Linked DNA regions of Xenopus tropicalis. The protein of the gene in region 5 purifies or fractionates together with the protein of the main gene of each other region. This does not show direct contact. Links are inferred from orthologs where the notes say so. Each region holds a gene or a part of one and is shown on either strand. Other genes may lie near its edges.

Region 1 (5,014 bases), on a different chromosome or scaffold from region 5:
TAACCCCTATTGACTGTCTTCTCTCAGTCTGACTTTGCTTCCTGTGCTGTGTCAGAGTGCTGCAAATCCAACAAAGGACACATCAACCCCAAAAATAATTGTTTGCCTAATAAAAGAAAACACAATTCTAAGCAACTTTCCAATATCAATTTATTATAAATTATTAGTGCTTTAAAAGTTATTTGTAAATGTTATTGCTATAGAATGAAGCATTTGCTGAACTCCTGGTTGTTACTTTTTAAACAATATTGCAAGGGCCAGTGTCCTCCAGCAAGCAGGTCTGTAAAATCTTCTGGCATTTGTTACATTGTTTCAAGCTCCAGAGCCACCAGGGCAGAGAATAGAACGGACAGGCAGACACTGTTTTTCATAGCAGTTATATATACAAATTACTAAAAAACCATTACATATATATAATGAATGTATATTGCAAAGTTGCTTAGAACTACTTTTTATTTTATTAGGCAAAAAAATTATTTTTGGGTTTGACATGTCCTTTACATCCAAAACTCCATTATTGCAGAATTTCTTTCCCTTATGTGATAGACACAGAACCATATACCTGAGAATCCTGAAGTGGTCTTTCTATGCTCTTACCTCCTTTCTCATATTTCATAGCATCTGCAGAAGACATTAAAGGAACAGTAACACCAAAAAATGAAAGTGTTTTAAAGTAATTGAAATATAACGTACTGTTGCCCTGCAATGGTAAAACTGGGGTGTTTGCTTCAGGAACACTACTATAGTTTATATAAATAAGCTGCTGTGTAGCCATGGGGGCAGCCATTCAAGCTGGAAAAAAGGAGAGAAGGCACAGGTTACATAGCAGATAACAGATAAAACATCATTGTATTCTACAGGGTTTATCTGTTAGCTGCTATATAACCTGTGCCTTTTCTTCTTTTGAATGGCTGCCCCCATGGCTACACACCAGGATTTATATAAACTCTAGTAATGTTTCTGAAGCAAACACAAAACTTTTACCAGTGCAGGGCAACAGTACATTACAGTTTAATTTCTTTAAAATATATACATTTTTTGGTGTTACTGTTCCTTTAATTCAGTACACAGATATCCATTCTATTACACATTGTGCAAAATAGTTCAACTCTAACATGGGCTAAAGTATTTAGATATAAAAGAGTATACTTTCTATATGATATTTGACAACCACACTCTGTAACCACTGGAGCCCAGATACGGCTTCCTTTAAAACAGCGGTTCTCAACCTGTGGGTCACAAATTTCCGATGGTCTTAGGAATACTTTTATGGTTATTGGTCACCACAACATGGGGAACTGCATTAAAGGGGCGTGGCATTAGGAAGGTTAAGAACCACTGCTTTACAACCTTCCATCCTAGTCACTATATATATTTGGGATTTTTTTTTCTTCTTTCCCACCTGGCTAAACGCTTGCCATACCTTTAGAAAGGTTATTGCATTCTTTTATTCTAAAGCTTGGATACTTTTCTCTAGCCCGCACCCAACCTATGCGAAGTTGTTATTATAGCTCCGCCTACCAATAATAAAACTCAAAAAAAGTCTTCCAGCAGTATATCAAACGATAATAATTTCATAGTTAGCAGCATGTTCCAAACAGCAAAACAAGAAAAAAAAGTTTATTTTCCTTCCCTGACAAAAGTAGCTGCTGCGAGTAGACTACCGCCCACAGCAATTCTAGCAGCCTACGCTCGAACACTACATTAAGACTCACCCCCGCCACGCTTCGCGTCACTTCACTTATGTGCGTGTACTCGGGACGCCATATTCTCGCGACATGAGACTTGTGACGTCATTAGTAGGCGCCTGGCAAAAGCAAAGGAGCTGGATGTTAACGGCGTCACGGGACGTTTAAGCAGTGATACGGTACTGCCGGCTGGGAAAATCGGAACTGTCCCGCTTGTTGGGCGGTACGTTTAAATAACTGGTTGCAGTTCTGTTACACCGCTAGATGTTTGTGCGCGCTTCCTGACCTAATGCATTGTTAAGGTTTTCAGCATTGGCTTTCGCCCTATTTTTATTTGGCAAGTTAGAGCTGCATGATGTTTGTGCGTAATTGCCGAGACATTGCACACCCCAAACGGTGTCATCTGAAAAATGTCAGTATTTAAAAATAAATGGTGCTTATCCCAAGAAAAATGTTGGTTCTGCAGTTTAAAGGAGAAGGAAAGGTATAAATCACTAGGGTGCCAAAATATTAGGCAACAACCTTTCCTTAAACCCCGGGCTGGTGCTCCTTTTAGGAGAAAACTGCATCAGTCCTGGGGTAGCAGCCAGAGATTGATCCCCTCCTTCTTCTGTCTTCACGATACATGCGCAGTAGAGTGAAATCTGAACTTTAACATGAAAGTCAGCATTTTTACCCTACTGTGGATGTGCCGGTCCTGGGATTTGGAAGAACGAATACAGACGGAAGAGGATTGCTGTCTTGCAGCTACCCCGGGGCTGGTGCGGTTTTCTTCTAACAGGAACGCAAGCTCATAGTGAAAGGTAAGAGACTACAATCACTGGAGGTGTCTAACATTTTTTGGCACTATAAATAGTAATTTTAGTTCAAAACGGAAGCACACCTGTCAAATTCAACCTTTTGTCTAAATTAAACTTGGCCAACTGCAATCTGGCAAGTCAACTTGTACTAAGGTAATTTAAGTACATTCGTATCAAAAAGTTTGGGAACCCCTCTCAGCCTGCATAATTTACTCCACTTTTAACAAAAAAAGATAACAGTGGTATGTCTTTCATTCCCAGGAACATCTGAGTACTGGGGTGTTTTCTGACCAAAGATTTTTAGTGAAGCAGTATTTAGTTGTATGAAATTAAATCAAATGTGAAAAACTGACTGTGCAAAAAACCAAAAAAAACCACAAAGGTTGTTCAGTATGATGGTTTTTAGGGGAACGCTACAAAAAGCTATCTCAGAGGTTTCAACTGTAAGGAATGTAATCAGGAAATGGAAGGCCATAGGCACAGTTGCTGTAAAACACAGGTCTGGCAGGCCAAGAAAAATACAGGAGTGGCATATGTGGAGGATTGTGAGAATGGTTACAGACAACCCAAAGATCACCTCCAAAGATCTGCAAGAACATCTTGCTGCAGATGTTGTATCTGAACATTGTACATTCTACAATTCAGAGCAACTTGCACAAAGAACATCGTGATGAGAAAGAAGCCCTTTCTGCACTCACGCCACAGACAGAGTCGCATGTTGAAGCAAAAGCTTATTTTGACAAGCCACAGTCATTTTGGAACAAAGTGCTTTGGACTAATGAGACAAAAAATCAGTTATTTGGACATAACAAAAAGTGCTTTGAATGGCAGTGTAACGGTACCTGGTGGTCTAGTGGGGCGATGGGGATGCCCGCCATATTCTCTTAGGCGCGCGTCCATCTCCTTTTTAATGCGCATGCGTGCCTGTCTTCTCCTTTGACATGCACGCATGCTCACTCGCATTTTTCCGCTCGGTGTGTGAGTGAAGTCATTTTGCCGAATATTTAAAACGCTTCCTTGTCTATGTTCATTGCCCAACTTAGGTCTTCTTCATGTAAGTTCCTGGGTGTGTTTCTTGTATTGCTCCGTTCTGACCCTTGCCTGTTCCTGACCATCTTCATATTGCTGCCTGAACTGACCTTTGCCTGTTTTTGACTACTCTTCCGGATTCCGTTTTGGTACTGCGCTGTCTGATTGTTATTGGCCTCGGCCTGACCTCTGGCTATGCTCTTCCTGTAACACGAATCTGGTTCCCTTGCTTGCTCAGAACTCTCTCCTTGGGTCTCTCACTGTAAGACCTGGCGGCATCCGAGTAGTGAAGGGCTCCTCCTGACGTGAAAGGCGGCTGTTAAAGGCAGAACGTGAGCCGTGACCGGACCCTTGGCACCTGTTCTGAGTTTTGGGATACCGATCGTGACAGGCAGAAGAAGAACACCACCACATTCCAAGAAAACACCCGCTACAAGAAAATAGAACATTCTTGTCCAAAGCATTATCCGCTGGCTGCTGCCAGAAGTGTTCTCTGGCCTATGCACCTTACTAATACGATTTTGGCAATGTACACAGCCAAAAGTTCAATACTGTAGTTAACATTGCTTCATGCAGTCTTTTTGTCTGGGTAATACAAGCCTTCAGTGAATGCCTTGTGTAGCCTTGATTGTCCCTTACCTGAGCCATATCACATAGCATGTCATTCAAGAAGTTGCATGCAACCAGAATTATGTATATTAGCCAATATTTTTGTTTTCCAGGTTAATGCAATAAAATGTCTTTATATGATGATCTTGGTGTGGAGACCAGTGACTCAAAAACAGAAGGATGGTCAAAAAACTTCAAGTTATTGCAATCCCAATTGCAAGTTAAAAAGGCAGCTCTTACACAAGCAAAGGTACGTTGATTCTCACTAGATGATCAAATGAAGGTTTTAAGCCAGATTTGGCTGAATCTGGCCATAAAATTTCACTCATTTGCGGAACTTAAAATTGGTGGGCCATATACACGGTCATACAGCCCCTTGCAAAAGAATTATAAACAGACCTGTGCAAGGACTGCATAAATGGTTTGACGCAGAGTGTGGTTTTGAGTGTGGCTGCTCGAGCCATGTCTCTTTGTAGTTTCATCCCAGTATGGAAGATTGTCCTCAGTGGGCTGCTGTATATATTTGTTTGTTTCTGCATGCACACTACAAAGTGGGCCATGAAGAAGGGAAGTAAAACTACTACAATCCTTTCACATTAAACTTGAAGTTGGCACTTAAATAATGTTATTTGGGCATTAATTGTGAATTCGATTCATACTTTTTCTTGCTGATTGAGCCAAATGATAGATGTTGGACTATTTTAACTGTCGTAGATCTCATGACGGAGGCCAGGTGGCAAGACTAGATCACTGGGTGACAAAGTCTAGGCACCCCTGCCTTATGGGATTCTCTAACCTGCATGACAAATGCCTTCCTGATCCTTTGGCAGATATCATTTGAGTTCACAGCTATTGTTGGCTTGTGTATGGCTACCTTTAGAATTATTT
Region 2 (5,062 bases), on a different chromosome or scaffold from region 5:
CATAGTACCTGTCAAAGGCTTTTACTCTGCCTAGCAACTTTTTGTTATTCCTGCAGTTGATCAGAACTTGTGTGTTGTTCTTCACAGACTGAGTAAGCACAGACAGTGGCCCTGTGTTGAACTCCTCCTCTTCTCGCTTTTGTAGCTCTTCAGGTGTCATCTCACTTTTGGGCTTGTTAAGGAGACTCCTGAAGAGATTTAGAATCAGTGTGAGATGGCATTAAATTATTAAACCTTTTAATTACAAACAATGGTGTCAGTTAACAAAATCACAATATGCGCTGTCCAACTCTTAGTTTTGTGTATAAGTGCAGGGAATTATTTGGCAATATGTTATTAACATGGATCTATAAAGTGTCAACATATTTATTGGCACTGTGCAATAAAAGGGTGTATACATACAGATTATTATAACGCGCTGATACATTCTGCAGCTCTTTAGAGAGATTATAAACCATTCATGTCACTATTAGCCCCACCACAGTTTAGATTTCATTAACATACTGGTCTATGCAAGAATTGGGAATATATACAGTGGTGTGAAAAACTATTTGCCCCCTTCCTGATTTCTTATTCTTTTGCATGTTTGTCACACAAAATGTTTCTGATCATCAAACACATTTAACTATTAGTCAAAGATAACACAAGTAAACACAAAATGCAGTTTTTAAATGAGGGTTTTTATTATTTAGGGAGAAAAAAAATCCAAACCTACATGGCCCTGTGTGAAAAAGTAATTGCCCCCTGAACCTAATAACTGGTTGGGCCACCCTTAGCAGCAATAACTGCAATTGAGCGTTTGCGATAACTTGCAACGAGTCTTTTACAGCGCTCTGGAGGAATTTTGGCCCACTCATCTTTGCAGAATTGTTGTAATTCAGCTTTATTTGAGGGTTTTCTAGCATGAACCGCCTTTTTAAGGTCATGCCACAACATCTCAATAGGATTCAGGTCAGGACTTTGACTAGGCCACTCCAAAGTCTTCATTTTGTTTTTCTTCAGCCATTCAGAGGTGGATTTGCTGGTGTGTTTTGGGTCATTGTCCTGCTGCAGCACCCAAGATCGCTTCAGTTTGAGTTGACGAACAGATGACCGGACATTCTCCTTCAGGATTTTTTGGTAGACAGTAGAATTCATGGTTCCATCTATCACAGCAAGCCTTCCAGGTCCTGAAGCAGCAAAACAACCCCAGACCATCACACTACCACCACCATATTTTACGGTTGGTATGATGTTCTTTTTCTGAAATGCTGTGTTACTTTTACGCCAGATGTAACGGGACATGCACCTTCCAAAAAGTTCAACTTTTGTCTCGTCGGTCCACAAGGTATTTTCCCAAAAGTCTTGGCAATCATTGAGATGTTTTTTAGCAAAATTGAGACGAGCTTTAATGTTCTTTTTGCTTAAAAGTGGTTTGCGCCTTGGAAATCTGCCTGCAGGCCGTTTTTGCCCAGTGTCTTTCTTATGGTGGAGTCGTGAACACTGACCTTAATTGAGGCAAGTGAGGCCTGCAGTTCTTTAGATGTTGTCCTGGAGTCTTTTGTGGCCTCTCGGATGAGTTGTCTCTGCGCTCTTGGGGTAATTTTGGTCGGCCGGCCACTCCTGGGAAGGTTCACCACTGTTCCATGTTTTTGCCATTTGTGGTTCGCTGGAGTCCCAAAGCTTTAGAAATGGCTTTATAACCTTTACCAGACTGATAGATCTCAATTACTTTTGTTCTCATTTGTTCCTGAATTTCTTTGGATCTTGGCACGATGTCTAGCTTTTGAGGTGCTTTTGGTCTACTTCTCTGTGTCAGGTAGCTCCTATTTAAGTGATTTCTTGATTGAAACAGGTGTGGCAGTAATCAGGCCTGGGGGTGACTACAGAAATTGAACTCAGGTGTGATAAACCATAGTTAAGTTATTTTTTAACAAGGGGGGCAATCACTTTTTCACACAGGGCCATGTAGATTTGGAGTTTTTTTTTCTCCCTTAATAACGTAAACCTTCATTTAAAAACTGCATTTTGTGTTCAATTATGTTATCTTTGACTAATAGTTAACGGTTTTGATGAGCAGAAACATTTAAGTGTGACAAACATGCAAAAGAATAAGAAATCAGGAAGGGGGCAAATAGTTTTTCACACCACTGTACTAAATCAGATATAACACTATTTTTCTGACAACAAAACGTCTACTGGTGATTTTTTGTTTAATGGAGAATACAATTTTATTAAAAATGGGTTACCCTATTAACTGTCCATTTTGGTACGATTTTAATTACTAGGTTTAATTTTCCCCAAATAATCATGTTTAAAGCTGTTTTTACCCATCGCTATCTACTTGCTGCCTCCATGTTTTTAAAGGAGTGCCCCATAGTCAAAAACATTACTGAGCATGTGTGAAGTCCCACCCCTTATTGCTAGAGCAATTAAGCCTTAATAAACTAACAAAAAAGTCTGGGCTGAATGTGTTAAAAGGCATATTTTTCAGTCATATGCATTTTTTAAACACAAATTAGTGTTTAAGTTGACCACACAGATCTCTATAATCGTGCAAGCACATAAAGCTGCAGAATATTTCCTTTGTAGAAACTTGTCATGTGGGTCCAACCAGGAAAGATATGGAATTGATTAGAAATTGATTGAAAACATTTAGAACCATTGAAAATGTTTAAATCGTGTATACTGAATAGTTGCTTAGTATTAAAAGACACATATCGGATTTGAATTGGGCTAATAGAACCCGCACTTAGGTTGGGGGAAACAGTACCATTTTGTCCAAAAAAATGCTCATAGCGATGTGCCACCCACACCCGGATGATGGAGAACTTGCTGCAGGTAGCCATGTTATTAACATGCCTGTATATAGTGAGCAAGTGTCACATGCAATTGCATAATGAGAAAACCCGGGGAGCTGTTTATACACACGACCTGGTGCTGGTAGCCTGCAAGGGAAGCTTTTTGGCACTGCCATCTCTGCCACAGTAATTAAATCACAGAACTACACAGCATTTTCTAAGTGCAGGCAAGTTCCGGCTAGTACAATCGCATGCTCTGCTACATAGAGGCATTCGTTCTAAGCGTCAATCAGCTAAACTTAAGTAGATACAAAAGGCTAGTTTTTTTCCTTATTTTTAAGTATTTAAAGCTGGGCTGAAGATATTCCACCAGTTACTCACATCTTTCTTTTTGTCTTTCCTTTCCCTTCTCACGTTTTCCCGGCGTGTAGAACGCTTCCTTTGAAGGGCCACTTCCGCTTCCGGGCCACTTTAGCGGCTAGTTCCTGCTTGATTTGGTTAAGCCTGTAGAAACGTGCCCACGTGATCGACACGAAACAAGTTCCCTCCAGTTTGCTACGCAGAGGGGCAGCGGCGTAATCTGACAGAGAAAAGGCGGGGTGGATTAGTTAACAAAGAGGGCGCATCTAGTTCCTAGAGTGGTTATAGGACAAGGCAAATCTTATTCCAATATTGTTCCAGTATGTAAGGCAACGCTCTGTGCTGGGAATTCAGTCGCTAAAGAGCGCAATAAGAACAGTTCCATGTTTCATTTTGACCATGTTTTCTCAGATTGTGCAATTGGAGGGATATACCAGTAGGTGGCGCAATTGTTACATAATAATTATAATAGACGCTTATAACATGCTTAATAACTTTGAAACTGAAAACAAATCTGAATTGCAAAAGCATTTGGAAGACCGACCAGAAAATGTGTACACTTTTTAGTGTCCTATTGTGTAAAATAACTGAATGGATAGCTTTACTGCGTAGCAGATTTAAAGGTGTTCTTCACCTTTGAATTAACTTTTAGTATGATATAGAGCAGTGTTCCCCAAACAGTAGCTTGCGAGCAACATGTTGCTCTCCAACCCCTTGGATGTTGCTCCCAGTGGCCTCAAACCAGGTGCTCATTTTTGAATTTCTGGTAAAGGAGGCATGTTTTGCAGCCATAAAAAACAAGTATAATGCCAAACAGAACCTTCTGTAGGCTGCCAGTCCACATGGGGGCTATCAAATAGCCAATGATAGCTCTCATTGGCACCTCCAGGAACCTTTTTCATGCTTGTGTTGCTCCCAAACACTTTTTCCACTTGAATGTGGCTCACAGGTATGAAAGGTTGGGGATCCCTGATGTAGAGTGTAATATTCTGAGACAATTTGCAATTGGTCTTAATTTTTTATTTGTAGTATTTTTTTTAGTTCTTTCACTTTTTGTTCATCAGCTATCTTAGAGCTAGAGTCCAGATTACCTTAGCGACCAGGTAGCAATTTGAATGAAAGGGTGGTAAATAAATAGGAGAGGACCTGAATAGAAAAACAAGTTATAAAAAGTAACAATAACAATAAAACTGTATGCTCACCAAGCAATAGTTTTTTGGCTGCTGGGGTCAGTGACCCCTATTTGAAAGCTGGAAAGAGTTAGAAGAAAATAAAAAAATGATTCAAAACTATAAGAAATAATGAATAGGAATAGGCAATTCTATAACACACTAAAAGTTAAAGGAACAGTAACACCAAAAAATGAAAGTGTATAAAAATAATTAATATATTATGTACTATTGCTCTGCACTGGTAAAAGTTGTGTGTTTTCTTCATAAACACTACTACAGTTTATATAAATACCCTGCTGTGTAGCCATGGGGGCAGCCATTTAAATTGAAAAAAGGAGAAAAGGCACAGGTTACTAAGCAGATAACAGATAAGTAGCAGATTCCCATTGTATTCTACACAGTTTATCTGGTATCTTCTTATGTAACCTGTGCCTTTTCTCCTTTTTTCAATTTAAATGGCTGCCCCCATGGCTACACAACAGCTATTTCTATTAACTACAGTAGTCTTTCTGAAGCAAACACACAACTTTTACCAGTGCAGGGCAACAGTACATTATATTTTAATTATTTTAAAACATTTTTATTTTTTAGTGTTACTGTTCCTTTAACTTAAAGGTGAACCACCCCTTAAAGGGTTTGGCAGTGATTTACTACAAAAGTTAACCATTTGGGAGTTTATAGGTTCTCTCTGTTTGCTTGGATTTCTGCCCTATTCTCCAAAACACGCTGACACCTTAATTGGCTTCTGGT
Region 3 (5,148 bases), on a different chromosome or scaffold from region 5:
GGCAACAGGCAATAAAACCTTTAATTGTGTACCCCAAGAAAAGAACCAGAAGGTTGGAATTTGAGCCATATATCTGTTATTTTGTCTCAATTAGTTATTCTGAGCAGGTTTACTGTGCAAGGGCTGGCAGAGTGGAGCAATTTCTATTATCCAAACCTTCATTTGTCCCTAGTTAAACTACAGTTTTATGCTTAATTATAAAAAAAAATATATATACATCTTTCAGTAAGTTTAGAACAGTTATATAAAGTTTTCTATACAGAGTGAGGTAAATCATAAAAATTCCTGGATGAGGAATAACTTACCATTGGTTTATTATAAAAAGGGAAACCCTGCAACTGCCGCAGAGCATTTGTAGCAGAACTCAGCTCTTTGAAGATTACAAACGCTTGTCCTCTCATTTTCATGGTCTTTAATGCCACAATGTCTACAACATGGCCAAACTGGGAGAATAGCGCATACAATGATCGCTTTAGTTCTGAAAAGAAAAAAAAAAAAAAAAACTTCACAGTATAAGTATAAAAACATGTATGGTTAAATCTCTTGCACGGATTTTGATAAGGTGAAAATAGAATATCAGTATTAGTTATTACATTTATTACTAAAACCAGTGCCATGGGATATTCTGCACAAGAAGCTTTTCTGTGCATATTAGTGATTATACAAATGACTGGGTGCGGCCGTGATTGCACATGTTGCCGACACTCTCTCCTTTCGTATTGCTTGCTGATTGCAGTGGTGCACATTTTAACTGAAGCACCTAGGCAGGCACCATCCTCAATAAAAAAAAAACATCTAAAATGATAAGAAATCGTTACTGATGGCCTTTTTACCTACTTGCTGCCATCAAATGCTAAGCACTGGTGAGCACTAGATCAATAAACAGCAATAATATCTAGGGCAAGAAGCATAATAAATAGCAGAAGAATAGTAGTATATGAAATGGAAAAAGTAGACTTCTGAGCAGATTTTTTTTTAAGTTAGTTTTACACTTTTAAAGCTTGAAGGATATTTAAGTTTGTTTGTTTTTCTTCATTTCTCTGCAGTTTTTACTATTTAGGGGAATACAAAGGATATAGGAGAGTAAAAAATGCCTTCACAGATAACAGCATAAGGAGTTGCAATACCAATGCTGCTGTCTAGATGTAAAGTGTACTCTGCCAGGAAAGACTGTATAGAGTGTAGACTGAGAGTGTATAATATTCAACATTTAAACGCTCCTCACACTTACCCGGTTTTTTTACTTTATCACAGAGGTTGTTGATGTAGACAGTGTGATTTGGCCGAATATCCATGGCTTGTATATTCTAAATACTGAAAGAGATGTTAAAAAAAAAAAAAAGGACCTTAGATATAGAAAAAAAGTACAGTATTACTCAAGGTTCTTTTCTCCTTGGAGATGGACTACTGTGCCACACACACATTTTTACCAGTGAGCCACATCCAAATGTAAAAAGAGCTGGGGAACAACACAAGCATGAAAAAAAAAAAAAAATTCCTTCTGGTGCCAAAAAAAGGCTGTTATTACCTCTTTGGTATTCCTTACGTGGACTGGCAGCCTAAAGGGACTCTGTTGGGCAGTACATCTGGTTTTTATGCAACCAAAACTCCAAGCCAGGAATTCAAAAATAAGCACCTGCTTTGGGGCCATTGGGAGCAACATGTTGCTTATGAGCCACTCATTGGGAATCACTTCCCTAGAGTAAAGCAATAATTTTCAAAAGCCAGGCACACTGTAATATTACCAAAACTAACCCGCCATGATATTGCACATTAGACAAGCCTGCGAACCACATCTGTCAGACCCACTTTCAGATCAGAATATTATTATTGTATATAACATGTGCCATGAAATTCCAACTGAATTCAACCTACATAAATCTATACATAAAACCAAATACATGCTTGTACAGGTATGAGATCTGTTATCTGGAAACCCATTATCCAGTTTATTAAAATAATTCACTATTTGAAAATATACTAAATTGTTCTCTGTTGTAATAAAACAGTACCTTGTACTTGTTCCCAACTAAATTATTTTTTTAGTAGACTTAAGGCATGGAGATCCAAATTATATAAAGACCCCTTATCTGGAAAAGCCCAGGGGTCCCATGCCTGTAATAGTATAATGCATGCTTTTAAATTGAATTTCTTTTTATAGCCTACAATTTCAGCAACACAGATAAGACTATAAGGCATAGCCCGGCATATTTTTCAATAAATATGAAATATACAGACTACTACAAAATAACATCCCATTATTAAAAACATGTAACTGCTGGATTTAGTAGTACAGGTATGGGACCTGTTATCCAGAATGCTCGGGACCTGGGGTTTTCTGGATAAGGGATATTTCCGTAATTTGGATCTCCATCACTTAACTCTGTTAAAAGTCATTTTAATATTGAATAAACCCAATAAGATTTTTTGCCTCCAATAAGGATTAATTATATCTTAGTTGGGATCAAGTACAGGTACTGTTTTATTATTACAGAGAAAAGGGAATCATTTAACCATTAAATAAACCCAATAGGGCTGTTCTGCCCCAATAAGGGGTAATTATATCTTAGTTGGGATCAAGTACAAGGTACTGTTTTATTATTACAGAGAAAAAGGAAATCATTTTATAAAATTAAAATGATTTGCTTATAATGGGGTCTAAGTGAGATGGCCTTTCCGTAATTCAGAACTTTCTGGATAATGGATCCCATACCTGTAGTATTATGATTTAGTCACTGCACTTTTCTCCCATACCCAACAATATACAGGCAAACTAGCCTGCCCCTGTGTATATTAGTGTGTGTATAATACACAATTATAAGCTTTAGTGCAGCTCTTTCCCAGCCATACACTGGCGACCCCCAGTCGCACACAGATCAGGGACAGCTCTATTGATTGGTTGCAATGTATGGAAACTGATTGCAGTTACAAATCAATCAATACCATTAATTACCACACGAAGTTGCCCCTTAACCGAGTTACAGCTACATATAAACCCGCACTACAGGCGCGTTTTATTCCAATAGCAACAGAACGGGCAGGAGTTGGACGTGGCTGCTGGGGAAGTTGTTGCTCATTACCCGCTGCCAGCTTCTCACCAAGCGAAGGAGCGGAACGTATAGAACTATTACCAAAAGAAACCCTCGTACAATGACAAACAAGCCCGGCAATCACCCATACAAGCTCCTTCCTTACCGCTCACACACGCTTCCGTGCGCCTTACGGCTCCAAGCTGGCGTCGCACGTTGATTTCCAGCAAACGCGCATTAGAACAGGAAAGAGACGTACGTCACGGCTCCGAGGTCACTTCGGCCATCTTTCGTAAGGGCAAAACCGCCTTCGCATAATTGATCATAAAGTTATTTTCTTTGACGTTTTGTACATTCCCAGGTTGCGACTAGAGTGTCATATAATAAACAACTGTTTTTGTCTTTCCGCCAAAATTTTAAGCACCTGTGTAATACAGTGGAACGGCGGTATTCATTATTAAATTATGGCAGGGAACGTTAGGGCAATACGTGGGGGTCAGGGCTGTTTTAAATTCATTTGGGAAGCAACAATAGTACAAATTTTACCTCATCTATAGTAACTTATGGCACCATTTCACCTGTATAAAATCAAACATGTATTGCTTGCTCTCTAGGTTACTGCAGCTGGGTAAATGTCCTTTATATTACATCTTGAGAAGAGGTGCACAAAACAAGCACACCAGAGCTGTTAACCAACCCCATGATAATGATCCACTCCATGCCTTTTTGAGTCCTTATTTCATGTTATCATATAGGGGCCCATTCATTTTTTTAGAAAAAAAAATAGCATTTTTCTATAGAACATTTCGGAATGTCCACAATAATTTCGCTCACATTCCACGACTTTTTTGTGATTTGCACTAACTTCGTATTTTTCGCAAAGACTACAACCATTTCGGGATTCATTCAACCTTTGGTATCGTGACTATCTTTTGGCCAGGTTGGAGCTGCAGAGTGCCATTGAGTCTTATGGAAGGCTTCCCAAAATCATGCATTGAAGGTTACAAAGCCAGAAAGGTTTTCACGCCATTTATGAACGTTCGGATCCGAAAATTTTGTGACTTTCGTAATGCAACCACAATATTTTGTTAGATGTGTCAGTGACATTGCACATACTCAGTGGGCTCTGGGCAGCTGTTGAGAAGCAAAGCTTAGGGGTTGTCAGAAATCAGAAAGCAGAAAATAAGGTTCTCCTGTTATTGAAGCTGATGCTACAGGGTTTATTATTAAATTCTGGAGCAAACTGTATTCCTTTCATGTAATAAAAATCTGGTTTAACAACTTATCAGCATTGTATTATGGCTTTTATCAGCATTTGCACCCCACATCTTTGTTAAGCTTTAGTTCTTTTTTGACCCCAATACAAGTGACAATTCTTTTACCAATATCTACTGTATTTTAGAGTCTACTCTAGCTCTAAAAATATATACAGTGTAACTACACAGCACTTTGGAGGGGCCTAGTCCACACTTTAACCCCATACTGATCCCCCACTCACCTGCATACATCCCCCACTCTCCACCACTCACTCTCACGTAGGAGAGCAGCCAGTGAGTGGGGATCTCCTTACACCTAAAGAGAAAGTAGACCATGTGGTCTGGGGCCCTTGTCTCCTGGACCCACCCCTGCAACTGTGGGGTCTGCTTCCTATATATTTACACCACTGGGGGTGCCAGTATAGATTTTGCAATTTAAAAAAGGCTGGAGGGCCTGACCTATAGAGAGATAACAAATGTTGCACATTAAAATTCCTTTGCGCTTTTTAACTACACCCAATCAGTTTTCACTTTAACACCCATTGCATTTTGTAGTTCTGCAATCTCCAGTATGTGTTTGTATCTCCCACAGCGGTCATCTAGATTCAGGGTCCTCACAGCAGGTTTTCTGCCTGATAAATGATATAAAGAAGACCACATGCTGCTGAGATCTCTAATACAACCGTTTTTGCACACACTTGGTGAAGCCCAACATTTTGTTGTGTCCTTCCCCCCCCTTCCCTTACTCAGGTTATTGAGAAGGGGAAAATACCATGCACCACCTGAACTTGGTACAATAATGTTGTATTATACATCTCAGCAGCATATTACTATGTTTATTGGGTATTGTTACTGGTTAGGAG
Region 4 (4,975 bases), on a different chromosome or scaffold from region 5:
CCTATGGAAGACTTTCCTTGGGCCAGGTTGGAGCTGCAGAGTGCCATTGAGCCCTATGGGAGACTTTCCTTGGGCCAGATTGGAGCTGCAGAGTGCCATTGAGCCCTATGGGAGACTTTCCTTGGGCCAGGTTGGAGCTGCAGAGTGCCATTGAGCCCTATGGGAGACTTTCCTTGGGCCGGGTTGGAGCTGCAGAGTGCCATTGAGCCCTATGGGAGACTTTCCTTGGGCCGGGTTGGAGCTGCAGAGTGCCATTGAGCCCTATGGGAGACTTTCCTTGGGCCAGGTTGGAGCTGCAGAGTGCCATTGAGCCCTATGGGAGACTTTCCTTGGCCGGGTTGGAGCTGCAGAGTGCCATTGAGCCCTATGGGAGACTTTCCTTGGGCCAGGTTGGAGCTGCAGAGTGCCATTGAGCCCTATGGGAGACTTTCCTTGGGCCAGGTTGGAGCTGCAGAGTGCCATTGAGCCCTATGGGAGACTTGCCTTGGGCCAGGTTGGAGCTGCAGAGTGCCATTGAGCCCTATGGGAGACTTTCCTTGGGCCAGGTTGGAGCTGCAGAGTGCCATTGAGCCCTATGGGAGACTTGCCTTGGGCCAGGTTGGAGCTGCAGAGTGCCATTGAGCCCTATGGGAGACTTTCCTTGGGCCAGGTTGGAGCTGCAGAGTGCCATTGAGCCCTATGGGAGACTTTCCTTGGGCCAGGTTGGAGCTGCAGAGTGCCATTGAGCCCTATGGGAGACTTTCCTTGGGCCAGGTTGGAGCTGCAGAGTGCCATTGAGCCCTATGGGAGACTTTCCTTGGGCCAGGTTGGAGCTGCAGAGTGCCATTGAGCCCTATGGGAGACTTTCCTTGGGCCAGGTTGGAGCTGCAGAGTGCTATTGAGCCCTATGGGAGACTTTCCTTGGGCTGGGTTGGAGCTGCAGAGTGCCATTGAGCCCTATGGGAGACTTTCCTTGGGCCGGGTTGGAGCTGCAGAGTGCCATTGAGTCCTATGGGAGACTTTCCTTGGGCCGGGTTGGAGCTGCAGAGTGCCATTGAGCCCTATGGGAGACTTTCCTTGGGCCAGGTTGGAGCTGCAGAGTGCCATTGAGCCCTATGGGAGACTTTCCTTGGGCCGGGTTGGAGCTGCAGAGTGCCATTGAGCCCTATGGGAGACTTTCCTTGGGCCAGGTTGGAGCTGCAGAGTGCCATTGAGCCCTATGGGAGACTTTCCTTGGGCCGGGTTGGAGCTGCAGAGTGCCATTGAGCCCTATGGGAGACTTTCCTTGGGCCAGGTTGGAGCTGCAGAGTGCCATTGAGTCCTATGGGAGGCTTCCAAAATCATGCACAGAAGGATCAAAGTCAGAAAGATTTTCCCACATTTTACGACTGTTCAAATATAAATATATATATCGTAAAGATCCGATTTTATTATATTCTTAAATACAAATTTTTCGTACTTCAAAAAGCATGATACAAAAAAACGTATTTGATACGATTTTTTTTGTATCATGCTTTTTAAACGTATGAACATCGTACTTCGATAAATCTGCCCCATAGAATATATTTTAATTGCATTTTCTTTATTGTACTTTATTTTTGGCAAAGTATGTTTAGCTGTAGACTGCCCCTTTAAAGGAAACAGTACTATGGGGCCGAAAAAACGCAAATCTTTTATAAAGCGAAACGCCTATTAACAGGATATCCGGTGTAAAAGTTCATCGCACAAGAAGGAAGAGAAGCGTCTAAGCGATTCTTTAACCAATTGGAACCCACAAGCTAAGTTTCCTAGGCGTAACAGCAAGGAAATGACGTAAAGTCCATGGGCGAGAAAGAGGCTTGGAACACAGAACTGGAGTGAACGCGCGGCCGGCGAAGGAAAGGAATTTAAACAGACATGGCGAAGCATCATCCAGATTTGATTTTTTGCAGAAAACAGGCGGGCGTGGGTGAGTTGCGCTGGGTAATGTGTTCGGTGTAACGGTGTAAAACTGAGGACAGAAAACTCTCCTCTCGTAGGCATTATAGATTGGCCGTTTCTATTGATTGCCTTTCTAAATCATTCGGATAGCACGTTCGGTACTTGTGTATACTCTCCTTGTATGCGTATGTAACAGGTATATGTGTTCCCTCACAGGGCTTCATTAACCCTCTTTTATTTGTTATCCACAATACTTCAGTTTTATAATTGTTATGTATATTTATGTTTCAGATTGTAGTTTGAGAGGTGGAGCTTGAACCTGATCTAGTTATACGCTGAATGCTAACTCCTTGATTATTGCAATTCTACTAAAGCACAATCTGACTTTCCTATTTAAACTCATGCAACAGAACTTGTCCTATATTTGCAGAAATCTGCAGAGAAACCTAACTTCTTATTTAAGGGAAATGTTGATTATTATAATTACAGAGGTGATCTGCACAGTAATGTTACTATTGAAGTGCTTTCCAACATGAATTTCTTATGTTATGAATGTGAGGGAAAATGACAAAACACAATGTTTAGGTGCATCGAATGGGTGAGATTACTCTGTGACCTGTGTAATGGCAAAAAAACAGCGTGCTATAGAAACACAGATTTGTATTTTTTATTTTTTTTTAATGTTTTCCTTTTTCTAAAGCTACATTGTATTTAACATAACAGATAATGAATTCTAAAGCTTAGGGCTTTCATTGTTGTGGACCTCCTGGTAATCTGATACTATACATGCAATGATACGTCGGTACATACAATACTGAAACAGTTCCAGCCAATACCATTTGAGGTTAATTAATGCCTTACTGAATTTATAAATTAATTTCATGTTTGTACTGGCAAGTTGTTGGAGCTAGTAAAGCTAGTCTTTACTACAGCTTTCAAAGGACATGTAAACCATTTATCTTCCTACCACGTATATAAGTTGGCACATACCCCCCCCCCCAACCAAACTTTACCATTTGTACTGCATATAACCCCTCTGTTTGCCAAAACCATCACATTTTCCTAAAGCAAATAGCAGCTTTACCCGGTGGCCATATTCTCTCTCGCACATCTTTAGTGACATTAAAGGAGAAAAAAATGTTAGGCAGCCCCACGTGGCTTTAATCGCTTACTTTTTACCCTGTGTGGTGCCCCTGTTAGGAGAAAACCGCACCAGCACTGGGTAGCTGTGAGCAAGTGTCTCCTCTTCCTTCTCATCAAAATCCCTGGGCCGGTGCATGTGCAGTAGAGTGAAAAGCCGACTTTTTTGTTAAAGTTTGGCTTTTCACTCTACTGCGCAAGTGCGCAAAGAAAGAAGAGGAGACCACACTCGCAGCTACCCCAGGCTGGTGCGTTTTTCTCCTAACAGGGGCACCAGCCCGGGGTAAAAGGAAAGCAATTAAAGTCACTTGGGGGTGCCTAACGTTTTGACACCCCCAAGTGACTTAGCCTTTCCTTTTCCTTTAACATCTGTAAATTGCACATATTAAAGTTACTTTAACAAGAAGTCCTGCTTGGATTGTGCCCTGTAACCGTAAACTGAGCTCCAGCAGATTACACAGCGAGAGCAGCGTTTCTAGGGAAACCAGCAGTGATCTCTTCATTGGCTGCTAGACTGGAGGCTGTGTTTGGTAACCTGAGTTAAGAAGAACTGAGCATGCTCGTTAGCCACCAGCCGAAGTCAATTCATAAGGGATGGGGCAGAGCGGGTTAGAGGAGGAAAAGAAATCCTAAGTGATTAAGGGGATACTGCAGCCTTTCTATTAACCGTTTGAACAACAGGAGTGGCAGGTATTTAAAGATTTCAATGAGGCTGTTCACTGATTACATTTTTGTTTGTTTTACATGTCCTTTAAAGCATTTTAGATATTTAAGATATGTGTACAACATGATGACCACTGTTTAATATATATATATATATATATATATATATATATATATATATATATATAAACACTTACATTTATAATTTTCTATTGCAGCTATTGGAAGACTCTGTGAAAAATGTGAGTATATATAATTCTTAAACTTTTAAAATATAAATTGCATTTGTTCATATGCAAAAAATGTTTCACCTTTGTCTTCTTTGTGCAACTGATTATTTCTCAACAAGCAATGGTTTTTAAGTGTTGCTGCCAGTCCTATATCTGATATCTCTGATATATCTGATTATATATTCTATATTCAGCAGTTGTATTACATTAGACATTATTAAAAAAATGACATTGCTTAACATCTGCTGAGTGGGGAAAATCAAGAATTTACAGTCTGTTTAAAAGTGTGTGTAGTTGTGGGGTGCATGTAAGGTTAGACTTAAGGTCCTCATACACCATAAGATCCGCTCGCTTGGCGATGTCGCCAAGCGAGCGGATCTTCTCCCGATATCCCCCACCTATGGGTGGGCGATATCGGGAGAATCCAGGGTAATTCGATCCCTGGGGCCAAATGATCGAATTATAACAGCAGGTATAGGAAAAGTCGGTCCGGGGACTGCATCAATGAGCCGATGCGGTCCACGATCCAACTAGATTTTCTAACCTGCCCCATCGAGATCTGGCCAATTTGAGGCCAGATATCGGTCGGGCAGGCCTGTTGGGAGTGCGCTTACACGGGCCAATTAGCTGCTGAATCGGCCCAAGGGACTGATATCGGCAGCTACTATCGGCCCGTGTATGGGGACCTTTAGTCTTTCATTACCTATATATCACAGCATGGTATGGGGTGCAAATCATTGCCTTTTTAAATTATCAAACAGGATGGCTGCAAATCAAGAGTGCAACAGTTCTGGACTAAAAGTCCATTGAGTTGGAGCTGAATAGCCTTGTCTTTTTGAGTTTAATTGATTTGTAACATTTTTCAGTCTTACCATGTATAGTTATAGTATTACAAGTCTTAAAGGGTAAGGAATTAATTAGGGAGTCCCTAAGGAATATAATCCGTTACCTTGGATTTTGGGCTTGCTCTCCTCTTTACTGAAAGGTGCACTAGCATAGTGGTGTATTTCATTAGCACAGCACAGCCATCTTCCAAATGATCC
Region 5 (4,906 bases):
ATACACTTTTCAAAACACTAATTTGGCCTAAGTCTGCAATTCAATTCATTCTGCGATGCCAAACTTTGATAATGCTTTCTATCAATTTATTTCACCTTTTTAGGCTATTCTTTAGATTTATTTTCTGTTTATTCTGACACCACTTTCACCTTATTTTCTGTTTCTACAAATCACAAGTCAACCAAACAGATCTTACATTACTTGCAGCTGTAAAAGAACATGACTTATAGAACTTAAAAATTTTTTACATTCAACCTTGAATACCAGCTTCCAATATTATTAAAATACCACACTATATTAAATTAAGTTTTAGTATGCTGGTTATATTCTGAGACAATTGCTTTTTTTCTTTTTTGCATTATTAAGCTATTTTGTTCAGCATCTCGTGAATTTGGAATTTCAGCAGCAATCTTTTGACTAGGATACAATTTATACTAGCAACCTGGCCATGGTTTGATCAGAAAATCATTTGGAGGGTTCTGAATAGAAACATAAGAAAAAATAAAGCAATAACTTTAAAATTTTAATAACCCCCAAAATTCCTTTTAAAAACTATTTAAAGAAAAAAATGAAGACCAACTAAAAAGTAGCTAAGAATAGGGTTCTCTATAACATAATTTACATATTGCAAGGTTGGTTTCATTATGTGCCAAAATCTGAAACATTTGTTAGAAAGCCACCTCATTTGGATGTTTTCGGTGAAATTCTTTAATTAACTTGAGTCTGTTGTAGAATTCGCCAAACTCATTTGGCCCAGAAATTGCAGTGAGTTCTTCCTTGCGTAATCTATAAAAGAATGGAATAATACTATAAACAAAGTTTGAAATGATCATTACTTTATCTTGCCAAAAGTTATTTAGTTTTTCTGCTATCAAATTGTTTACCTGATATTTTTTGTGTGTTTGGTGGCCATATGATGCTGAGGGCCATTAAAACCTCTACGAGGGTTGCATACAGCCCAAAGCCTCCAGCTGTACAGGTCTGATTTACACTATGATTATGTACACATTGCCTATTAGTGAGCTGTCCATTCATACATGCAGTAGTAAATGAGTGGCTTTGCCAGAAAGTAGCTCCAGTATGAATGTTGCGTTTTTGGAAAAAAAAAGGTACTAAATTTCACCAATGCAGGCACACATAGCAGCCAATCCGATTGTTATTTTTATTCTCTAGCGGATTGTTCAAATTGATTCGTTGATCTGGGCAACTACTGTGGTGCAATTTAACACCTAAGTTTGTAACTCTATCATAAAAGATAACGGCCTAACTAAGGAGGAAAATTATCCTTTGTGGGACATTTGCACTGATCCTGAGTATATAATTAAAATCTCTACAATAATATAGGGCAAGACTGCTGTTTTTGCCAAAAAGGTGGTAGCAGTTAGGAATGAGGGGTGTGCTGTGATTTATGTCATTGAAGGTGACAGGGAATAAAGGCACTGTAAAATTACTATACTGATTTCCAATGCCACCAATTACAGTATATTAAATAATTAGGATATACCAACTGAATAAACTGAATGAGGGAAGGGGGTTTAAGAGACTTTAAAGGGTCAGTAATGATGCACTGGTCAAATACATCATGCACTGCACTCAAAAAAAAATATTTGCTTCAGAGGCTTAATATAGTTTAACAACAAGATCCCTTGTAGATAAGCAAGCAGTCATGTAAAATCCGACAAAGCGAACAGGTTGGAATTATTATTTATTTAAATTGACTTACAAGTATGAGCTATTTATAACCTGCATATTCAAAATCTTGTTTTCTTTGAAGCAGTCCATTTTTTTTTGTGTGTTTTTAAGCTTTTTGTGTGCAAAGTCACTTTTAAACAAATCCTTCCCCCTTTTTTGTTCATATGCATATAATACAGATGTATGGCCTGCCCTTAAAAGCTATAGAGAAACCTGCCCAAAGCAGGTTAGCAAATAATGAAGGACTAGTAATTTCTATCCATTGGGATACATAGAAGGTTTAGCCAATTTTTATATACAAAGCTATAATCATTGCTTCAATTAATAAGAAATATTCTTACCCATCTTTATCTTCATATAGATCCCTTAGATTTGAACTCACTTCCATGTATTGCTGTAAAAAAATGTAAAATGTTTCAGTAACTAGTTCACAATGTTATAGTACATAACCCATATAAAAGGTAAACAACAGAGATGAATACTTACATCTAACATAGCTCTGGCTCTGTGATCTGAATTTATTTGTTCCCGTAACTAGAGCAAGAATGAATGACATACATTAAATTGGGGCATGTATGAAAACAATCATTTACAAGTCCTGTGCAACACAAAACTAAGTATAAAACATGTAAACCAATCAAGTGTGAAATACATTTTTTTTTATAATTTACTCTGAAAATAGGAAACTTTCTGTAGCAGTTAAAGAATCAGTAATAACAAATCAAAATCAAAAGGGTTCACTGTCCCGAAGCACTGCTGAAATAAAACATAAAATAAATGCAAGTTTGTACAAAATGATGAGCAATTTAAAGTCATTTTGTGGAACTTTGTTGAAACTTCTTTATTGAAGAGGCACTGGGTGCTCTTTCAAACTATTTTTTATTGACCAAAACTGCTGCACCCTCATATATCTAAAAGGCAGGTCTTACCCACCATGTCACTTCACATCACATAACTTGCTTTCTGGAAGATCTACCATTTTATTTGAGTGTATGTCTGTTGTACTCCAACTATAGGGCTTGGGGGCCAGTTAGGCTTTAATGTGCGTATGTGTATTTAAATTCTCTCCCTTAGAAAATCCTGGAAACTCAGACTGGGTAGTAGTGGAATTTGGGGTGATCACTTATTTACTGACACAGAGATCCCTGGAACTGTGGCTGAATGACTTTAAAAAGATATAACCTTACTAGGTCTGAGGGCCCCGTTGAAAACCACTGCTTGGGGGGGGAGCAATTTAAAAGTTAGGCAGATATCTTATATATCTATATGGCAAACGTACGTCTCCTCACATTTTCCCCTCACATACTAGTGCTGCTGGTTATCGTGCTGCTGGTTATCCTGCTGCTTCCCCGGTGCAGCCTAAAGAGGCGGAAGTTCCATACAGTTCTCTCCTATCAGAACTCTCCTCGCCTGCTTTCCTGACACCCAGCACTCACCTTCCGACACTTATGAGCAAAGAGTGTATCATTAAGCACCACACACTGCTAGAAACTAATAATCTTCGTTCTAAGGACCGAGTCCATTTCATTGCAGAAATGCATAGCATGCCCAGCAAACATACACTCCCCCCATCTCTCGTCTTGTTAGCCCGTTCTCTGCGCAACCTTCATTGGCCCTACCGTGGGTTTTTTAGACATCATCTCTTTGGACATCACATCCATGAGCCTTTCCTTCTCCTCTTGGTAGCGCCGCTGCTGTTCCAAAATCGTCTCCATGTTGGAAAGGCCGCCAGAACGGAAGTGATACGAGAATAACCTTCCCTACAGGCCTTGGTTATGGGAAATAAAGGTTCCGCCCGCCGCTAAAGTGTTCCGGGTGCAGGAAGTGGAGGAGATATAGTGAAACACCATGCTATAATTGACTATGTTGTCGGGGGTGTTAAAGATCTTAGTTTATAGTGTGGGTTTGTACCTAAATAACTAAAATAGAGACGGTCCTCTTTTGTGTGACATGTAATTGCCTATTTATTTCTTGCTAAGCCGTGCGCGGGTTCTTCCAGTTCCAAGATAGGCGATACACGTAGCCAAACTTTTCTGTTCCTGGAGTGATACATGTTTTTTGCTGCAATGAGTTGTAATAGCCATTTTTGAGCAAATACTAGTATAGTCAAGTAAGTTAAATGTCACATGTGGAGACTCGTTATTCTCACGTTTTTACGAATATTTTTCACTTGGATTTTTTCACTTAAGTTTTTCGACTATAAACCATCTAGTAAATTAAACCCCCTATGAAACCCCCCCCCCCCCCCCCCCCCCCGGTTCTGTTTGAACCTGCTGTTTATAACTTAGTAGCTGTTGCAGGCACTACTATGAGAATGTAAGTGTAAATGATGCTGCAAATGTAACCAGCACTCTGTGCTCTCATAGGAGGATTTCTCTTCCTCATCCTGCTGAAAACAACTGGTCAGTAAATCAAGCAGTTGGCCCTAGTTCAGTGTGCATCAGCAAGGAGATTATCAGCATGTCAGCCAAGATGGAGGAATTGGTGCCAGAGTTCCTTGAGTCCCCATGCATTATCATTTCTCAGACTGAGATGCATAGAATAATATAGGTGCTGTGCCTGGAATGGCTGCAGCCCTTCATGCTACTCTTGAGGTGTTAAATAGGATAGAGCCTGTGGGTGATTGCTGGATCTGTGCTCTTCCATCAGTGTCGGACTGAGATGGCAGGGGCCCAATAGAAACCCCTAGACCATGGGCCCACTCTCAAAACTTTTAATTCCTCCCTCAAACTCATTATTATCTTAGTCTTTTTTCTCTACATACTATACTCTATTCTTCCATCTATCAAGCTTCCTTGATCCCATACAGAAATAGGGAATGACCATGAAATAGGCTAAATAGAAGCAAGGGGGCCCACTGACACCTGGGCCCACCGGGAGTTTTCCTGGTATCCTGGCGGGCCAGTCCGACGCTGTCTGCCATTGTCTACTCGTAGCAGTAGATGCTGCTCTTTTACCCTCATAGGACCCTCTCCTACACTAGTGTTTACAGGCAGGTACTGAAGACAAACTGATGTGCATCCCCTCTCCTTGTACCCTTATCTCTTCAGCCAGAGAAAGTATCCTCAGTTTTTCTGTTTAAACTGCTTTGCCATCTGATTTATTTAGATCAACTTTCCCATCTTAGGGCTATATATAAACACAGAGATGAGATTTTGACTTTACATTCTCTTTAACCTTTTAGAAAAGGGTTTAGAATTCCACCCATCCCTTC
Region 6 (4,918 bases), on a different chromosome or scaffold from region 5:
ATTAATTTTATGATACCAAGTACTAGCAAAATCGGATTGGTAGGTGTGTGACTTAGGGGCAAACAAAAGGGGGTAGTAAAACCATTTATCTAAATTTGTTTTATGACTGATATTTTGAGACAAAATTATTAGCGTGGGCTAACAGAGCCTTTATATAATAATTGTTTTTTTTTTTTTTTTTTTATAGCCCCCTACAGTGCTAGGCTGCCAGCACTGGGAGGAAGGTCCTGGTTCAGGCAGCCATGTTGTGGCACTCACATGTGCATAACAAGTGAGTGCCACAAATCGCTGCTTATGCATATGTGTGTGATGTAGGTGGGCAAGTCGCATCCGCAGCTCCTACATTACATGCATGCACATAATAAGTGAGCGGGAGTCTCCCGCATAATGCGCATGCATGCTTAATTAACATGGCCGCCGCACTGGGAGCTCCCTCCTGGTGGGGGGCGGCCTAGTGCAGACAGACTTTAAAAAAAACCCAAAAACTACTGCATCTCCCAACCAGAGTGTGGGCTCTATTAGCCTGCAACTTTGGTGGGGAAGCAATTTTAGCGCGATCGGTGCCCTTTAAGGTAAACGTATGACAAATTAAAAGAACATCTTTGAAAAAGGTTTTGTTGCATTTGGTTGTACCCTATGGTATGATAAAATCTGACAGGTCCCCCTGCCCACAACAGACTGGCCCATTCTATTTGACCAAAATTTTGGTAACTAAAAATAGCTGTTGACTTTCTCCCGGATGAGATGTCTCTGTCAAGTTGTTGTCCCATGTCCAAACAAATTTGTGGTAACATGAAAGAACACAACAGAATAGGTTGGAGATGTGAATAGGCATTGCAAGCAGGGGCAGAATATTTTGTAAACTAAGGGCTGTGGCAGACGGGGAGATTAGTCGCCACTCGACAAATCTCCCCGAAATGCCATCCCACCGGCTAGAATGTAATTCCCGGTGGGACGGCATACATGGCGCAGAAATTGCCGAAGTTCCTTTGCAACTTCGGCAAATCGCCCTGCCGCATATGCCACTGCATCGGCGATTTACATTCTAGTCGGTGGGATGGCATTTTGGGGAGATTAGGTGCCCCTGGTTTAAAAATTAGCACTGAGTACCATAAACTGGGAAGTTGTCCAATGGCTGAACACAACAGTAATCACAGATTAGTATCACTGTTATTTGCAGTTATTGGTGCTTTACTAGGGCATCCAACAAAATTTAAAGGAGGCATATAGGATTAACAAAAATATTCTCTTAGTTCCCTGTTTCAAATGAGGGAGGGGGGCGTGTCCTAACGGTCCCTGCCATAAACACAGTAGGAGGGGGGGTTGCCAATCACAGCCCTGCACTCACACAAAGGAAGGCTTCAGCTCCCTATCAGGTTTGCCTAGATCAGGGATCCCCAACCTTTTTTTATCCGTGAGTCACATTCAAATATAAGAAGACTTGGGGAGCAAAACAGGCATAATACATGTTCCTTTGGTTACTAAATAAGGACTGTTATTGGCTATTTGGTAACCCCTATATGGACTGAAAAACCTACAGGATGTTCTGTTTGGCAGCATATCTGGTTTTTATGCAACCAAAACATGCCTCAAAGCCCATAATTCAAAAATAAGCACCTGTTTTAAAGCCACTGGGAGCAACATCCAAGGGGTTGGAGAGCAACATGTTGCTCACGAACCACTGGCCTAGATGCAGCCTGGGAAAAGAAGGCAGCAGGTAGTAAAACAGGTGGGTGGGGCTAGTGGGTTTTTGGGCGAAAATTTCAATAAACGCTACTTTTCTTAGCACATTCCATCAAAATAAAACTTACTGCACAGAAGCCAAGTCTTAGCAACAAAAGACAGCAGAAGTTATGTAACCTATGCTGCCGGAACTGTATTTTTGAGGTGACACGCATGTGTATATGACAAGACCTACACTCTGTATTCAAAACAGCATGGCTTCACCGACTTACAGAGAAGACACATTGACCAGAACCAGTCCCTGCTCTTTGCACCACAGGGGTTACTAATACACAGCCAATTATGATCAGAGTCAAACCACAATTGTGGGGAAGCTTCCCCTTTTCTACATATTCCCCACCGGACCTACCTCCTACCAATAAATGTTCACCCTGACCCACAGATCCAAATGCTCATAAGTGTGAGACCAATCAGAGGAGCTGGCTGAAGTTGCCATATCCAGCACTGGGGTGCATGCTAGACTTTCAGTAATTCACATTATTTAATGCCAGCTTGCAAATGGTTCCACCTGCCCACTGGGCAATCATGGATGCACACAGCTTATTTATATATTAAGTCTGAGAAAATTCATTATTTCCCACCAGTAACACCTTTGCTAGTAGTATATAAACCAATACACACTGAAGCAAGACAAAATGGTATGTCTCTTTTATAAAGATATTATCAATAAGTATTTCCATTGTGCACATTAAGTACACATAGCAATGTTATGGTATATATTTATGTGCCCCTCTGTATTACCTGTGATCGTGCCATGCACTTGGGTTCCGTTCTTAAGTTCCACTGTGACAGTTTCATGACTTAATTTCATCAAAAACCTATGAGAAAAAAAAACAAAAGCGTTCATGGCCAGCCGCTCGTGATGAACCCATTAGTTACACAGTTTATATTACAACGCAGACTCGCTAATACATTATTATCCGACGGAGCCTTTACTTCCCGCCGTAATCTTCTACTTACACAAAGCTCTCAAACGTAACTCTCAATCCACCACCATCCTCTGTGAAGGAACCCATAACAATCTAAACGCTTACCTAACTAACTTCATGACTTCTTAATACGAACGCGGATCCGACTCCTTCGGCCAGAAAAGGGTTATAGGACTGGCAAAATGAAACGCGAAAATTTACTTTTAGACCCTCCGAATTCTCATTGAGCGAAAGCAACGTTCCAGCGGAAATCGGCACCTACGTCAGATCCGGAAGCGGAAGCCCCAGTCGAGGGCGGAAGTTTTTGTTACATGTGTAATAGAAGATGAAAACGCTAGCCTGTCTCCACGTAGAAAAAGGAGAATTACATTTTCGACTTTTAAAAAGCAATACTATAAGGGGAGGCCTACACTGCAGTTAAGATACTTGCTTAAATAAAATGCACAAAGCGGCGTTCCAGCGAAGCCTTTTATGCTTGTGGATTACTTAAAATTTCGTCTAATACAGCGCAATGCATTTATAAAGAAATACTGTTGTAATAAAAACTTAGCATACATAGCTGAGCTAAAGTCAACTGGTGCATTTAATTCAACAGAAACGCTACAACACCATCGGGGCGGGGCCGAAGTAGAAGAGGGCGTGGTATTGAAGCTAAATTTCATTTTGGATCTAGGTTGGCCATTGGCATTGCATGGCATGAAAATAAGTATTCTCACTATTAAACTTTATTTTTAGGTAAAAGTTAATGTTTCGTTTTCTGAAGACAACATCCCTTTACCTGCTTACCTGCCACTGCATTTTTTTTTTTTTACATGCTTTTGATATGCTGTCTGCAATCCCCATTGTTAGAGACCTTTAGACAACTAGTGCTGAGGTTTGAATCTTCCGTAGGGACCCATAGGGTTAAGCTCCCCTATGGCTTTAAATCCTACCTCTTCTGATTTTGTACTGTTACTGGGCAACAGGGCCGGAACTAGGGGTAGGCAGAAGAGGCAGCTGCCTCGGGCGCAACGATTGGGGGGCGCCAGACAGGAGCCTCTTCTGCCTACCCCTAGTCCTGCTACTTGTCATTGCCCCCACCGCTTGTAATTAGTGGTGGAGGCAATGACCGATTGGATTGCACCCCCCCCCCTTGCGTTTGTTTTGGCGCCATTCGGGGAGAGGGGGAGTGGCCAAATGCCTAAGCACACGCAAGGGGGTGGGGGGTGGCCAACCGGGTTGCCTAGGGCGCCTGGTCAGCTTGGCCCGCCCCTGCTGGGCAAAGTCCCATGTATATAGTTTACACCTTATTGGTTATTTGGGTTGATCACACCCCTTGCAGTCTCATATAGTGTCTAGCAAGGAGATGTGACTTTCTCTTTGGCTGCCTTCTGAATCTCAAGGAACAGCTCCACTGAGCCTGGGACCACTACACCCTTACTCCGCATGGTCTCTTCCACCTAGCGAAGGCCCATTTTGTCTAAGAGAGTCGCATGTAGCCCATGCTCTAAACCTAACACTAGCATGGGTTTTGTCTATATATAGCCAAACAAGCGTTACACTTCACTTCTTGGACCCAATACCCTCACAATGAGTACTACTTAAAGCACTGATCCCCAACCAGTGGCTCAGGAGCAATATGTTGCTCACCAACCCCTTGGATGTTGCTCCCAGTGGCCTCAAAGCAGGTGCTTATTTTTGAATTTCTGGTTAGGAGGCAAGTTTTGGTTGAATAAAAACCAAGTATAATGACAAACAGAGCCTTGTGTAGGCTGCCAGTCCACATAGGGCTACCAATAGCCAATCATAGCTCTCATTTGCCACCCCCAGGATTATTTTTATGCTTGTGTTGCTCCTCAACACTTTTTCCATTTGAATGTATAAAAGGTTGGGGATGTAACCTATAAAGGCTGGAGTGAGCAGATGTCTAACATAACAGCCAGAAACTCTACTTCCTGCCACATGGGATATAACTGTTCAAGTTAGTTTGTGAGCACGCAGGACTGATTGCAAACCAAACGTTATATTTTTTGTACTTCGTGCAGTCTATTTTACTCAGTTTCATTTTTACACTAAATGGTTCCTTTAACAGCTCAGGGAGGATCGGAAGACCCAGAGAGGTACACTGGCCATGGGAACTAAGCCTAACAGAGTATAAAGCTAATACTTTGGCTGTGGCTGAGGCTAACATTAATTGCAGGGCAGCAGTAAAGAAAGACTGTACCATATGAAAGCACCATTTGGTACCCCGCAAAATGGCTTACCAT

The links. The genes of interacting proteins can lie anywhere in the genome.
Region 1: the proteins of sf3a3 (region 5) and rbm17 purify together in Homo sapiens (affinity purification with mass spectrometry; 4 studies listed by BioGRID and IntAct, counting the BioPlex papers as one, with this or other methods). This does not show direct contact. The link is inferred for Xenopus tropicalis from reciprocal best matches to the Homo sapiens genes SF3A3 and RBM17.
Region 2: the proteins of sf3a3 (region 5) and snrpd2 fractionate together in Homo sapiens (co-fractionation; 3 studies listed by BioGRID and IntAct, with this or other methods). This does not show direct contact. The link is inferred for Xenopus tropicalis from reciprocal best matches to the Homo sapiens genes SF3A3 and SNRPD2.
Region 3: the proteins of sf3a3 (region 5) and snrpb2 purify together in Homo sapiens (affinity purification with mass spectrometry; 6 studies listed by BioGRID and IntAct, with this or other methods). This does not show direct contact. The link is inferred for Xenopus tropicalis from reciprocal best matches to the Homo sapiens genes SF3A3 and SNRPB2.
Region 4: the proteins of sf3a3 (region 5) and phf5a purify together in Homo sapiens (affinity purification with mass spectrometry; 3 studies listed by BioGRID and IntAct, with this or other methods). This does not show direct contact. The link is inferred for Xenopus tropicalis from reciprocal best matches to the Homo sapiens genes SF3A3 and PHF5A.
Region 6: the proteins of sf3a3 (region 5) and snrpd1 fractionate together in Homo sapiens (co-fractionation; 3 studies listed by BioGRID and IntAct, with this or other methods). This does not show direct contact. The link is inferred for Xenopus tropicalis from reciprocal best matches to the Homo sapiens genes SF3A3 and SNRPD1.

The regions. Positions count from the first base shown.
Region 1 is NC_030679.2:84,315,703-84,320,716, reverse strand, and holds the start of rbm17 (splicing factor 45), read left to right. Parts: upstream 1-1,780; 5' UTR 1,781-1,867; exon of another isoform or gene 1,868-1,911; intron 1,912-4,239; 5' UTR 4,240-4,253; coding exon 4,254-4,376; intron 4,377-5,014. UniProt on the Homo sapiens protein: Splice factor that binds to the single-stranded 3'AG at the exon/intron border and promotes its utilization in the second catalytic step. Involved in the regulation of alternative splicing and the utilization of cryptic splice sites.
Region 2 is NC_030684.2:70,385,774-70,390,835, forward strand, and holds the start of snrpd2 (small nuclear ribonucleoprotein Sm D2), read right to left. Parts: upstream 3,235-5,062; 5' UTR 3,164-3,234; coding exon 3,162-3,163; intron 189-3,161; coding exon 9-188; intron 1-8. UniProt on the Homo sapiens protein: Plays a role in pre-mRNA splicing as a core component of the spliceosomal U1, U2, U4 and U5 small nuclear ribonucleoproteins (snRNPs), the building blocks of the spliceosome.
Region 3 is NC_030681.2:29,851,698-29,856,845, reverse strand, and holds the start of snrpb2 (U2 small nuclear ribonucleoprotein B''), read right to left. Parts: upstream 3,235-5,148; 5' UTR 3,196-3,234; intron 3,194-3,195; exon of another isoform or gene 2,944-3,193; intron 1,315-2,943; 5' UTR 1,296-1,314; coding exon 1,232-1,295; intron 479-1,231; coding exon 306-478; intron 1-305. UniProt on the Homo sapiens protein: Involved in pre-mRNA splicing as component of the spliceosome. Associated with sn-RNP U2, where it contributes to the binding of stem loop IV of U2 snRNA.
Region 4 is NC_030680.2:120,350,889-120,355,863, forward strand, and holds the start of phf5a (PHD finger-like domain-containing protein 5A), read left to right. Parts: upstream 1-1,741; 5' UTR 1,742-1,875; coding exon 1,876-1,927; intron 1,928-3,920; coding exon 3,921-3,944; intron 3,945-4,975.
Region 5 is NC_030678.2:83,832,161-83,837,066, forward strand, and holds the start of sf3a3 (splicing factor 3A subunit 3), read right to left. Parts: upstream 3,415-4,906; 5' UTR 3,408-3,414; coding exon 3,312-3,407; intron 2,227-3,311; coding exon 2,179-2,226; intron 2,087-2,178; coding exon 2,034-2,086; intron 787-2,033; coding exon 681-786; intron 1-680. UniProt on the Homo sapiens protein: Component of the 17S U2 SnRNP complex of the spliceosome, a large ribonucleoprotein complex that removes introns from transcribed pre-mRNAs.
Region 6 is NC_030682.2:65,069,603-65,074,520, forward strand, and holds the start of snrpd1 (small nuclear ribonucleoprotein Sm D1), read right to left. Parts: upstream 3,235-4,918; 5' UTR 2,792-3,234; coding exon 2,778-2,791; intron 2,562-2,777; coding exon 2,485-2,561; intron 1-2,484. UniProt on the Homo sapiens protein: Plays a role in pre-mRNA splicing as a core component of the spliceosomal U1, U2, U4 and U5 small nuclear ribonucleoproteins (snRNPs), the building blocks of the spliceosome.